Linked DNA regions of Caenorhabditis elegans. The protein of the gene in region 2 purifies or fractionates together with the protein of the main gene of each other region. This does not show direct contact. Each region holds a gene or a part of one and is shown on either strand. Other genes may lie near its edges.

Region 1 (6,812 bases), on a different chromosome or scaffold from region 2:
AAAATTGTCGTGCCGACACCGGGTACTGATTTTCTGACTCAAAAATTATGGGGTTATTCAAGTAGTGTCGGGAAAAAAAAAATTAAAAAGTGTAGAAAAATTACGTCACACATGTATTCAAGTAAAAAAAACATGTATTTAAATACATTTGTGACGTCACAAATGTATTTAAATACATTTTGCTACATTACTTGAATAACCCCATAAATTCGGAAATATCGCCTATTTCAGAACTCAAAAGGAGCTGAAGAGTCACTGTTTGGAGAGGAAACTTCCTTCCTTGAAATGACTGATGCATCATCATGATGACTTCTCAGACAAACCATATCATACTAACTCCTATTAAGTCATAGTTAGGCAGCTCTAAACATAGTTAGGAAGAGTTATTCAGAGTAAATCAGATCGACAAAGTACAATCAGACCAATTCCGAGCTAGGCATAGTTAGGCAGATCTAGGAATGAGCTAGGCATAGTAAAGCGTGGTTACTCCGAGTAAAACCACACTTGCACCGAACTGCGGTTAGTGTGCTTTACCATTATGTAACTCCGCTTTTTACTCTGAGTTAGTATGATATGGTTTGTCTGAGTTTTTGAATAATTTTTTAGTTAAAACAAAGAAAATAAGTGGATCTTTCAAGGTTTTTTCAGTTCTCAGTCACCTTTTGATATTCATTTTCAGCCTGCGGTTCTCCAATTCTTAATCTTTTCTTCGCTGGTCCATCTTCATCGTCGTCTAGATTTTCCTCATTTCTTCCAATGTGATGATGACATCCGGGCCGTTTTCTAGTCGCCACGTTACCCATTATTGCTGCTGTAGCAGCTGTAAGCCGGCCAGACGGTGATGGCGAGGAAAGTTTTTTGGAAAAACAGACAGTAGGAGTGATTAACAAGAAAACGGAATGTCCCGTGGTTGTGGCGGAATGATGAAAGAATTTTTGGGAGCAGGAGGAGGAGAAGAAGAAGGACACAAACATACAGGAAAAGAGCAAACAGAGACAGTGAGCAAGTGTGATCAGGAGCAGGTACACGGATTATAAGCACTGAGACACATTGACTCGATCAAATTTGAGTACTGATCAGACGGTGGACTTTCGAATTGACCCCACTTTCTCTAATATTAGTACAGAGTCAGGAAGCTTCAATTGAAATCATATGGAAAATGAAGCAGAGCTATAGTAGAAAAGAAATTCACAATGAAATGGGATTCAAAATTGCCTCAATTCAAATTCTCACACAAATTGCTTGAGACAAAAAAGCTCTTGAAATTGGATACTTCCACTTCTTCAGCTTCATACCAAAAATGAAAACTGCTCAATGGGGCGAGATTACTTAGAAAATGGAAGGGGAGCCGAGTCTTCAAGGAGCGAAAATCGATGGGCGACAGAGGGTGAAAAACTGAGCGGAGAGCAAAATAGTTGGGAGGGAACTAGTAGTTATTTATTCCAAACTATCCTATTCGATATTTTGTATTCAACTGAAAAAAAACCTAAGCCGAATTGTACCTTCAAAAAAATATAATAATCTCAATGTTTTGTCGAAATTTGAGCACAAAACTATTGTTTATAGAATGTTAAAATTTATATATAGTACACGTGAATTTTGAAGTTGAGAAATCAATGGGCAAATTGAAACCGTATTGTGTTAATTTATCATTGGATAGTTTCACGAAGAGTGAGCAGAAAGTCGAGGAGATTGTTTTCCAAATCACATCCATCCAAAATTCGCTTTTCGCAAGTCTGAAATTGAACTTTCATTTCTATTTATGTATTCATCTTCCACCAACCGCAACCAGTTTCCCCATTACTCCAATATTCTCGTCATTGATAACATCTTCATCCATCAACTGTTGGAAACAACGACGAATGAAAGCAACACCAGTGCACGATTTTGTGATATCCTTTGTCAATGCAATTATTTGGGGAACATCAGCAGTCAGGATTGATTTGCAAACGTTTGAAATGAGTAAACTGTCCGAAGAACCACGGAGATAGCAATTTCGAGCATTGTCATCGCCCTGGAAATATAAAGTACTATTTTTACACAATATTTATAGAAAAAACAACTAACACTTTTCAAAATTGGAGCCAATGACTGAAGTGTACATACAGCTCGTCTCAAATCACCTTCTGAATATTCCATAACTTGTTTCAGTTCATCATCACTCATGGGAGTTCCTTCTGCATCACAAATTGTTCTCAATCTAAAAACACCGAAAGTTATAAAAAACACTTAATTTTGAAATTTCACCTTTGAACTTGAATCTCGGCTGGAAGTGATTTGAATCGGAACTTGGCACAACGGCTCACAACTGGAGGAATCAATCGGGAAACATAGTTGCAGATGAGAATGAAGCGAGTAGTTTTGGAAAAATCTTCAATAACTCTGCGCATTGCTGCTTGTGCTTCTCGGGTCATCGCATCAACTTCATCAAGTATGATAATTTTCAATTTGAGAACATCTTCCCTATGGCTGTGGCCCAAAGATGACTTGGAGAAGGATTGAATCTAAACAGGAAACGTTTTTATAATTATGGAATTCTTAATTAATTAAAAATCAGTGGCAATCTTACTTTTTGACGAACAACTGCAATACCACGCTCGTCCGATGCATTCAAATCAAGAACCCTATCGCTGAAAATATAATTATTGGAAAAAATTATCACCCAGTATTTCACTTACTGGAAAATATTTTTTGGGAAGAGTTGGCGGCAAAATGCAAGAGCTGCTGACGTCTTACCAGTACCTGGTGGTCCATAGAACAAAAGATGTGGTAACTGAAAAATTAAAACGATTAGTTTGAATAATTTTTTAAGCAATACGTCTCTTCCTTGAAGCGCTCCTTTCAGCATTGTGACGACTTCATCCTGGTATGCAATATCGTCTAGCGTTTTTGGACGACTGAAAATTTGAATTTACTTTGCAAATCGAAAAACAAAAAACTAACTATTTTTCTGTCCAGGTGAGCACCTTTGGTCTTTTATTGTCAACTTCCATTGGTTCTTCCATTGTTTCTGTTAAATTAATGAATTTTTCATAAAATAAAGACATTATACAATATAAAAATGAAGAATTTATTGAAAATAAACTGCCAGAGAGAAAAAGTATGCAACACTCCCGCCGAGAGTGTTTGAAATGGTGTACGGTACATTTTCGTGCTAGGAGTTAGATGTGCAGGCAGCAACGAGAGGGGGAGAGATTTTTTTGGGCCTTGTGAAATTAACGTGAGTTTTCTGGTCATCTGACTAATCATGTTGGTTTTTTGTTGGTTTATTTTGTTTTTATCTTTGTTTTTATCCAGATTAGGAAATTTAAATTTTATGAATTTATAATGAGGTCAAACATTCAGTCCCAGCGTTTTTCCTGTTCTCACTGTTTAGTCGAATTTTTATTTTAGGCTTTCAACAAATGTTCTAACTGTCTTATTTGTGACCTCACTTTTTATATTTTTTTAATTTTTAAAAATATTAGAAGTTTCTAGGATAATTTTTTCGACTTTTATTCTCTCTACCGTCCGCACTCTTCTTACTTTTAAATTAAATTGTTTTTTTTTCAGTTGGGAAACACTTTGCTCACTCCGTAGCAGCCATGGGAAAAGAAAAGGTTCATATCAACATCGTCGTCATCGGACACGTCGACTCCGGAAAGTCCACCACAACTGGACACTTGATCTACAAGTGCGGAGGAATTGACAAGAGAACCATCGAGAAGTTCGAGAAGGAGGCTCAGGAGGTAAATAGTACAAACAACTAGTTTGAAAGATTTTCTCACCCGATTTTTTTCAGATGGGTAAGGGATCTTTCAAGTACGCTTGGGTCCTCGACAAGCTGAAGGCCGAGCGTGAACGTGGTATCACCATCGATATCGCTCTCTGGAAGTTCGAGACTGCCAAGTACTACATCACCATCATCGATGCCCCAGGACATCGTGATTTCATCAAGAACATGATCACTGGTACGACTTTGTTAAATTTTTAGCTCGTTTATAAAACTTTAATTGCAGGAACATCCCAGGCCGATTGCGCCGTCTTGGTCGTCGCTTGCGGAACTGGAGAATTCGAGGCCGGAATCTCCAAGAACGGACAAACTCGCGAGCACGCTCTTCTTGCCCAGACCCTTGGAGTCAAGCAACTCATCGTTGCCTGCAACAAGATGGACTCCACCGAGCCACCATTCTCTGAGGCCCGTTTCACCGAGATCACCAACGAGGTTTCTGGATTCATCAAGAAGATCGGATACAATCCAAAGGCTGTTCCATTCGTCCCAATCTCTGGATTCAACGGAGACAACATGCTTGAGGTCTCCTCCAACATGCCATGGTTCAAGGGATGGGCCGTTGAGCGCAAGGAAGGAAACGCTTCCGGAAAGACCCTCCTCGAGGCTCTCGACTCCATCATTCCACCACAACGCCCAACTGACCGACCACTCCGTCTCCCACTCCAGGATGTGTACAAGATCGGAGGAATCGGAACTGTTCCAGTCGGACGTGTTGAGACCGGAATCATCAAGCCAGGAATGGTCGTTACCTTCGCTCCACAAAACGTCACCACTGAAGTCAAGTCCGTTGAGATGCATCACGAATCTCTTCCAGAGGCCGTCCCAGGAGACAACGTTGGATTCAACGTCAAGAACGTCTCCGTCAAGGATATTCGTCGTGGATCCGTCTGCTCCGACTCCAAGCAAGACCCAGCCAAGGAGGCTCGCACCTTCCACGCCCAGGTCATCATCATGAACCATCCAGGACAGATCTCCAACGGATACACTCCAGTTCTCGATTGCCACACCGCTCACATCGCCTGCAAGTTCAACGAGCTTAAGGAGAAGGTAACTTATTTGTCTTATTGTTTCGTTTATGTACCAATTTGTTTTTCAGGTTGACCGTCGTACCGGTAAGAAGGTTGAGGACTTCCCAAAGTTCCTCAAGTCTGGAGATGCTGGAATCGTCGAGCTCATCCCAACCAAGCCACTTTGTGTTGAATCCTTCACCGACTACGCTCCACTCGGACGTTTCGCCGTTCGTGACATGAGACAAACCGTCGCTGTCGGAGTTATCAAGTCCGTTGAGAAGTCTGATGGATCCTCTGGAAAGGTCACCAAGTCCGCCCAAAAGGCTGCACCAAAGAAGAAGTAAATCTTCATTGTTGAGTTTATCTTGTTGATTTTTGAATAAATTATCAACTCTTTACTTTTTAATGGGTTATGAAATAAATAAACATTGAAAACTGATAAACAACGTTCATCTCTGTTAACTCAACTCCAGAAAATCAGCATTAACATTAATAAAGTGATAGATATAATGAGGCAAATAATCAAGACTTTGGCTATTGTGTCCTCGTTGTTCTTCAGCTTCGTGGTCCATTTGCAGTGTTGCTTCTCAGATCTGGAAGTAATATTTGGTATTCGATTGAGCTTGCTCCTCACCTTCGATCTAAAATTTCGATAGCATCTGGAGATTCATTGTTTCTTTCGTTGATATCAATTTCTTCTCGGGTGAACTGGTCCACATTTATAGTATGTCTTCTATCATCAAACAGCTTTTCCTTTTCAACTTCCATATTAACTTCGCTTAAGGCACGAGTTATCTCCGCCAGCCTGATTAGATCAATTTAGTACATTGATTTACAAAATTGGGAAAACGAACCGGAACATAGCAGGATTCAATATATTCTTCGGTGTATAGTAACCAGTGTCATCCTTCTCTTCATTTTCTGATAGTTTCTGCGTCATCTTAAGTTAAAAAGTAGTTGTAGAAATGATAAATGGATAGTATAGAATATAGTGAAACGACCGAGGAAAGGTGAAGTGAGTGCAGAATTAGGAGAAGCTTATTTGCATAATAATATAAATGAATGAACGACGAGGCGGAGGAAACAAAGAGCACCCACCCGAACGATCGGAGAGATGAGCACTTCTTTTGTATCCGTTCAGTGACTGGGTATTGACAAGTTCATAAATTACAAAGCACAGGAAATAAAGTTTCAGCTATCAATCAGTACAGTCTGTACAGATATCAAATTATCAACAAACAACGAAATCTTGTTAGGTTCAACAATAACACTTTATTAGTTTGGAAGAAAATGAAATTTTTTTTTAATCGATACCAAATTTGAAGAAATAAGTTTCACTGACTTTCTTCCCAGTGTGCAGTATACAACTTCCATTCACTGAGTTTTCAATCATTTTTTCCTGAATATAAATGTTTACTCTCACTCTCCCTTGGTGTTGCACAAACAATACATATTTTATGTTCGTAGTCTTGCAATTTATTGTAGATTTTCGAAAAACCATTCCTTAGCTCCCGATTTTTGGGATTACCTCTCAGGAATAGGAATTGACCACGTATATTTAGGCAGTCCTCTTACAGCTTGATCTCCGAGGTCAAACTGTGAAGAGTCCGCCAATTAACGTGTTTGATCTCTGTGGCTCGTATTCAGAGAGAGAAAGAAACAAACAAGAAATTTCAATATCAACTCAAATCAAACGGTGTGAAGATCTCAAAGAGACCATAACAAAATGTCTCTAAATTTTATCTTTTACCATCAAACGTTTTTCAAATTACCAAATATTTTTGCCAAATTTATCATTTCCAAATACTTTGGATTTTTCTGGTTGCTCTACGTGAATTTTTTATTTCGAAAAATTTGAGAACGCCATTTTACATTTACTTGCACTTTATCTAATTCAATTTGCTTTTTATTCAATGTATTCAAAAATATAGTTTTTCAAGAAGCATGGTTCGTTTGCTTGTTTTAATAATCGAGTCTCCCGCGTGTTTTCTTTTACGACACTCCGTTCTTTCGCTAGCGCCTCATGTTTA
Region 2 (7,369 bases):
AAGGGCAATCCGGTATTATATAAAAATACTTTACTATTTCCCCTCTACTTTGACAGCTCAAAACTCACTTGCCTTTGGATTTATCAAAATATTGTCAACTGAAAAAATACGTGCAAAATGTGTCTCTATATTTTGATAAATGAAAAATTTTTGATAACAATTAAGACAGCCGAGCTATAAGCCGTAGAAGCATTCCATCTTCCAATTGCATATTCTGGCGTGAGCTCAAGTAAGTTCCTTTCTTTTCAGCCCTAGCGGCATCTAATTTTTTATTTTCCAATTTCTACGAAAAAAAACTTATCAAGTCACAAAAAAGGGAAGAAAAAAGTGAGAATCAGAGAAAAAGTTCATAGTCCAACAACCAGTTCACCCCAGGTGAAATAGTGTATTGCGGATAGGAGACGGAATCGATTTGGACGGTGTCTCGGTGAAGAAGAAGATGAAAAGACAATGTATGTTCTATGGAAGTTGAAAGACCGATCAGAGAGATGACACCGCAAAGCGGAAACTGTTTGGAATTTCAATTTATCTCTCTCGAGATAGTCTTTGGCTTTTTGTCGTGGAAATTAACTGCGATTTTTCAATTTATTTTTCATGTTTGATAAAATTCCAGCTAGTTTTTGCAAATTAGGAGCAGTTGGAGGACATCAAAACATTGGAAAAAGAAATTGGAAAATCAATGTTCTCACTAACTTAAATGGAGTTTAATACTTTTCACAATTTTGAATACCTATCGCAAGTGGCTAAAATCAACAAAAAACTCCCTATTGTAAAATTGTGCGAGCAAACAAAAAGTTGCCTATTTGGTAAACGTGAGACCTTAAAAATAAGTATGTAAGTGGAATTCATTATCCAGCTTTAGATGGAAACAAAACGTATTTACCAGAGGTGTGCGGCAAATTTGCCGAATTTGCCGATGCATTTTCACAGCTCATATCTCGGCTAGTTTTAGCTTTGCAGAAAAAATGCCAACTAACAAATTACGTAGGCAAACGATGTTTTCCGGCAGATCGGCAAATCGTCAAATTGCCGGAATTTAAATTTCCGGGAAATCGGCAATTTGCCGGAATTGAAAATTTCTGTCAAATTGTAGTTTTGCACTTTTTTTTTTTGAAATTTAAGGATTTCAATTTCAAATGGAAAAATTAAACAAATCCTATAAATGTTCCTACATCTATTTTGAAAAATAAAAAAATTCTATGAGAATATCTAGAAAAAACGGAAATAATTAAAATGACACAGTTAAGTGTTTCCGTCTTGTAAAAAAATCCCTCAAAACGTTTCCGGCAAACGACAAATCGGCAAACCGGCAAATTTCCGGAATTGAAAATTTCCGGCAAATTGGCAAACCGGCAATTTGCCGATTTGCTGAATTTGTCGACAAATCAATTTGCCGAACGGCATTTGCCGCTCACCCCTGATTTATACCGAGGACTCAAAATTTTTGTTAATATTAATTCTCCATTACCCAAAATCCCCATAACCCCTCTAATCACCTGGTCTACATTTCTCAAATCAATAACTTCCAATGTCCTTTTCTCTTCCTCAATTAATTGTCTTATTTGATTCGTGTGATGGCCGGAAGCGTGTCCACTAAGGAAACAAGTCTATTTTCGGTGGCGTCCCCCAATTCTTTCTTCCCCCATAAGTGATAAAGAAACACCATTTACTCATAGGGTTGTGTATCTTTGAACTGATTCAACAAAAGCTTTCAGATTTGGATGGTTATTTGGGGAAATGCTAAATGGGGTATTCACATGAAAAGCCTGCCAGACCCCTTGGTCATGTTTCTATTTCCGTTTCTTTTCATGATAAGAATGGTATTCGTATTCGCCTGCAAGAACTGTGGTATGATCAGTTTTCGCCCATATATGAACGATAATGATGATGATGATCGAGACTCACGAGATGATGAATCGAATTAGAAATTGAACAAATTGATAGTTTTTCTTTTTCTGACACTTTGGACTTCTATTTTTGGTACTTTTGGACAAAAAAGGCTTCAGGTCACAGGGGATGACTACAAAATATGTTTACTAGGGATAATTTGTGAGTAAAAACATAGAAAAACTTTTAAAAAAAAGCCACCGACATCTGACGGGTAACAAAATTTTTTTGTTTTTTTTATTTCAATTTAATTTATTAAATTCCCTGTTACTATGTCTGGATAAATTTTGTCAAAAAGTTATAGCAGCCGACAGCTCGCTGGACCAAACTGCATCGGTTTGGGGTAACTTATTGAAAGCAGCCGACACTTCACGGGCTGTCTTGGTAAAGTTTTGACTAGTTTTTTTTTTCAAAGCAGCCGACGCCTAGCTGGACCAGAGTTTCAAAGCTTGGCTCAGCTATTAAAAGCAGCCGACCCCTTGCGAGGCCACATAGGATAAGGTTTTTTAAGCAGCGGGCATCTTGCGGGACCATTGGGAAAGCTCAACCTTTAAAGCAGCCGACACTTTGCAGGTCGGCCGGATTTGTATTCTAGGATCAACTTCAAACGCAGCCGACACCTAGCGAGTCCGTTTCATAAAATCCACACAACACCACACAAACCTATCACGATATTCATTCCATTCCTTTTCCGTCGGCTCAATCGGGCTGCATTCAACACTGCAAGAAAAAACACACTAACAATCACACACTAAGTTGCTCACTCTTCCATTAACATGTGGGGTCTCGCAGTGAACTGCACAATGTCCGATGGAAGGCTCGACTGGCCCGACGATTGAGTGTCTTCGCCACGTCGTCGGTGCTCCTCGTCGACGACGACGGCGTCTTCCATCCTGATGTGCAGAATCAATTAACAATGAAAACTACACGTAAAAAGTAAGAAAAAGGAGGCGAACTGTTAGGTGATGACACTGGGGGCAGAAACACAATCGAGATGAGAAAGACGATACAATATCAATAATTCAAAATATTCTTCGTTTTTCTTCTTTTCTCCGTTTCCTTTCTCCCCTTCTATCTCTATTCCTCTCCAATCACACAGGTGTCTTGATCGATGGTGACAAGAAGTTAAGAGTGGGTGGAGCCTCCTTCACAGACATTTTTCACAGACATGCGCATGCGCAATGGATGATCAAGGGGAAGGTGAATGATACAAAAGGGGGTATAGAGAAGCTGCAATATACTCCACACAAAGCTTATCAATTGACTACTTGTTTACTTTTCGACTATTTTTAGCTGTGATAATTTTTGGGTTTTCACTTCTGCTTCAGACTGTATGGCTGGTTAATTTTTTTTGAGTTTTCAGAATTAAAAAAAAACATGCTCTTTTTTAAATTTACATTTTGACATCAAATTGTTGTTTATATGTGTTTTAATTCTGAGGGGCAATTTTCCGGCAAGTTGGCACATTGCCGGAATTGAACATTTTCGGCAAATCGGTAAACCGGCAAATTGACGATTCCCCGGATTTGCCGGAAAAATGGCAATTACCGAATTTTTCCGGCAAGTTGGCGGAATTTAAAATTTTTGGCAAATCGGCAAATTGTCGGATTTGAACTTTCCGGCAAATCGGAAACTTGTCGGAATTGAAAATTTCCGGCAAATCGGCAAATTGCCGGAATTTAAAGTTTCCGGGAAATCGGCAAATTGCCGGAATTGAAAAATTTTCGGCAAATTGATATACCGGCAAATTTACGATTTTCCGGATTTGCCGGAAAATTGCCGAAATTTCGAAATTTTCTGGCAAGTTGGCAAACTTTCGAAATTAAACTTTCCGGCAAATCGGCAAATTGCTGGAATTGAACTTTTCGGGAAAGCGGCAAGTTTGGTCTTGCACGTTTTTTTGGAAATTTCAGAATACAAATGTCAATCGGCAAAATTGTACGCATCCTATGAATGCTCCTACATCTATTTTGAAAAGTAAGAAAATTCTATTCTAGAGAAAACGGGAACGAAATTTCAAAAGGGCACAGTTTTTTCCGTCTTATAAAAAATCCCTTTAAACATTTCCGGCAAATTGACAAATCGCCAATTTGCAGAAAATAAAAATTTCCGGCAAATTTACAAACCGGCAATTTGTCGATTTGCCGAGTTTGTCGACAAAAAAATTGCCGCCCACCCCTGATTTGAATATACCTATGTATGCATTAAATATTGATGACTCATGTTTGATACCCAAATAAACAAGTTCAATTATTTTTTGAAACTTTTCCAAACTGTGAACCTTTTTGAAATCCGGTTTTGAACTCTTAACAGAGCTAGAATTTGGTGCTCATCTGTTTTTAAGACTTATAATTGCCAGATTTATTAAAGTTGACAATTTTAAATTTTCCCAGTGCTCCAGTGAAACTCACTTCAAAATGCTCCCATCCTCTGCAATACTCTCCAACCTCCTCGATGTCAAATCAGTGGTCGTTGTGCCCGAAGTGTCAGCGGATGATGTGGTTGCCTGATTATTGTAGTTCTCATAAGGAAGTGTCATGAGCAATGGAAATGCTCCTTTATCCGGATTCACCGCGAACAAGATGGTTGCTCGCGGCGAGTTCCGTCGCATTCTCCTGAAGAAATCCACTTTCGATCTGGAAGGCTTGAAGTTTTAAAGAAATTCCCGTGGATTTCACGTGACTGATAGTGAAAAGTAATAAAAAAAAGAAAAGAACGGAAATGTAAGACAAAGGATGTTAATCATACATGTACATACATGTATGTACATGTACATACATGTATGTACATGTATGAATGATAAAAAACAATAAAACCTTAGAATATATCTAGTCATATAACTTTTAAAAATTCTGAGAAATTCTATAAATGTTTTTAACAATTCATCGTTAAATTGAAAGCTGAAAAAGTCAGAGAAAATCCCGGAAAAATAAGAGGCAAATAACGAGTTGTCGTGGTATAAGAAAGACTTCAAAATATTTGGTTTTGTATTGTCTGCTTTTCCAGCCAGTGGCAGTCACGGCGATTTGGAGCAGCCCACGCATACTCTGACGTGGGGTTTTCAGTTATAGAGATTTTAAGAAAAGCCAAAGCCTAGAAAGGACAGATTTCAATAAAAAAAAAGCACATGCCCTCAAGCCTGCCTATGCGCCTACAAGGCAGATAGGCACAGCTTGCCTCGTCAGGTATTTTTGCACATACATTAAAGTCTGGCTCATTATCCTAAAGATGTCTATGAAAATTCAAATTTGCCGGTACTTGGGCCAATGGACAGAACATATTCATTTTCTCTAATCCCGATTCGTTCATGTTTTTGACTTGCATGATATCAGTGAACTTACCTGGCTAAAATATTCTAAGCGAATATTTTAAGCTCCTCAATTTTCGGCACACACTTCTATCTTAGCTTCCTCATTTATATTTTGGTTATATGTAGAATAGAAAATAGCTTGATTGGGTAGATGTGAACAAAATTAAAATGGATTCAAATTGTAAAGGTGGTGTAGTCCAATCTTTTTAATTGATTTATTAGACTCGAAATCGTCTGAAAACACCGAATTTCAAAATGAATCTTCTTGAAAACTTCTCAAAAAAAAGTTATGGCGGCTCAAAAAATGACCTAAAATTAGTTTTTGGTTGTCATAATCTCCAACTTAATCCTCATCTGTGGGACTGAAAGTCATTGGAGCAAAAAAGTGAAAAGGAGTTTTTTTTTTCAAATTACGAGTTACATAAGATAATCCACCACGTTTAATCCAATTTTGCTGAGAAAAGTTCAAGCGCGTGTCTATTCAAACAGGACTTTGTTCAAAACATCAAAGCTTCCAGACAAGTTTTTCTAACAATTGAGCGAGAAAAAAAACACGGAGCCAATTTTCACAAGAAATCCAAAATTGGTTCTAAAGAAGATATTGTGTTGAAGAATACTTGAAAAATCCGCAATGACGGGGGGGAGGGGTGTTTACCGACGGCGCCAGAGAGTCAGTTAGAGCTTTTGAGATTAGTCGTCAAAAAAACATAGGGATTCCCGAAAAAAGACTGGAAGAAGGAAGCCTCTGAATGAAATTCGAGACCATCGTGTTATGGTCGATGACCTTAGATTACGTGGCACCTGCGAATTAACAGGGAGAAGAAGCCACTAATTTCAGTACTATGAGCAATTGGAATTAGGATGTCATAATTGTTGGTGTCTCGGTGTGGTGAAACAACATTTGAAAAGGAAATTAACTTTTGCTGAGAATTCTGAAATTTTACTGATAAGAAGAAGAAAAAAAGAAAAAGAAGGAGGAGAAGAAGAAGGAGAAGTGAAAACAAAACTGACTCATTCTGTCTTCAATTGGAGCCAGATTTTTTAATTTTTCTGACGAATTTCCAGACTACAACAATTTTGAGAACTCTGAAAAATACAAGTAATTTGATAAGAGAATCTCGAATTTTTAATATTTGATAACACAGATTTTTATGAGAAAATGTATACAAGTCGTTAAATGAGTATTCAAAATATGGGTCACAATGATGCCACACTTTAAGTTTACAATCTAGGCACAAAATGCCTACCTAGATGCCTACAAGTCAGGTGTTACTTGCCAAGAAGGTGATCGACGTTTTCACGCCTAAGTAGGTAGGCATAGGTCGCCTTCAAGGCAAACTCTATAGGCAGGCGGGTATGCATTTTTGCTACAACTGCCATTAAAGTCAGGAACGTTCTAGAATCGTGGCCGCGAAAACAAAATTGGTGGCCGAGCTTTTCTAATTTTTTGTGTCTTTACAATTCAAAACTGATTTTCGATCACTTCCTTTTACTCCAAAAAGCCCCAAAAAATCCCAAAAAAAAACCAAAAATTACAACTTTTATTGTTTTCGTTTCCGGGTAAATGTGCGCGGAAATAAAGGCCATTTCCGAAAATACAACTTTTTTTTCGAAAAAAAATTGTCTACCGCAATTATGTGTGCAATTTTAGAACACAGCAGACACACAAAATAAGGCACATTTTTTTCGTGGAAAAAATCTGGTGGCGACCAAAAACCGAACGGAAAAAGCTGGCAAAGGAAGGAAGTCGCTTCAAATTTCAAAGGTTTTCGTGGAATTTTGGATTTTTTGATTTAGATGGGGGAGGCTGGAGAGAGGGTTTTATTCATTTTTGATGAGGGTCCGGGTTCAAATGGGGTGGAGAATGTGAAGGATTTGAAAATTGGTAGAAGGCGGAATAATTGTTGGTTTTGTTGGTAAAGAGCAATAAAAATTTATAATTTCTAGGTTTTCGATATATACATATGAGGAACACATTTTTGAAAATTTAGCTAGAAGATTAAAGACGCATAGCAAGTTTTGGCGCAATCTGTGGAGGTCAAACTGAGTTTCAAAGAACAGAACTCTAATGTTACAAAAAACAAAGCAATTATCTGCATAATGATACGTTTTCTTGAAATTTTGTAGCTGAAATTCTAGAAATTTAGGAAATCTGGCAAAAATAACTTTGAG

What was found. The genes of interacting proteins can lie anywhere in the genome.
Region 1: the proteins of clh-1 (region 2) and eef-1A.1 purify together in Caenorhabditis elegans (affinity purification with western blotting; one study listed by BioGRID). This does not show direct contact.

Annotation. Positions count from the first base shown.
Region 1 is NC_003281.10:6,968,453-6,975,264, reverse strand, and holds eef-1A.1 (Elongation factor 1-alpha), read left to right. Parts: upstream 1-3,552; 5' UTR 3,553-3,584; coding exon 3,585-3,728; intron 3,729-3,781; coding exon 3,782-3,950; intron 3,951-3,998; coding exon 3,999-4,819; intron 4,820-4,868; coding exon 4,869-5,126; 3' UTR 5,127-5,239; downstream 5,240-6,812. Other genes in the region: Putative serine/threonine-protein kinase F31E3.2, read right to left, coding at 660-803; rfc-4 (Replication factor C subunit 4), read right to left, coding at 1,650-1,736, 1,784-2,014, 2,068-2,200, 2,248-2,504, 2,570-2,630, 2,679-2,773, 2,819-2,897, 2,944-3,005; F31E3.12 (uncharacterized protein), read right to left, coding at 5,246-5,375, 5,417-5,587, 5,637-5,722.
Region 2 is NC_003280.10:11,851,964-11,859,332, forward strand, and holds the start of clh-1 (CBS domain-containing protein), read right to left. Parts: upstream 4,499-7,369; coding exon 4,299-4,498; intron 2,783-4,298; exon of another isoform or gene 2,781-2,782; coding exon 2,652-2,780; intron 2,608-2,651; coding exon 2,551-2,607; intron 1-2,550.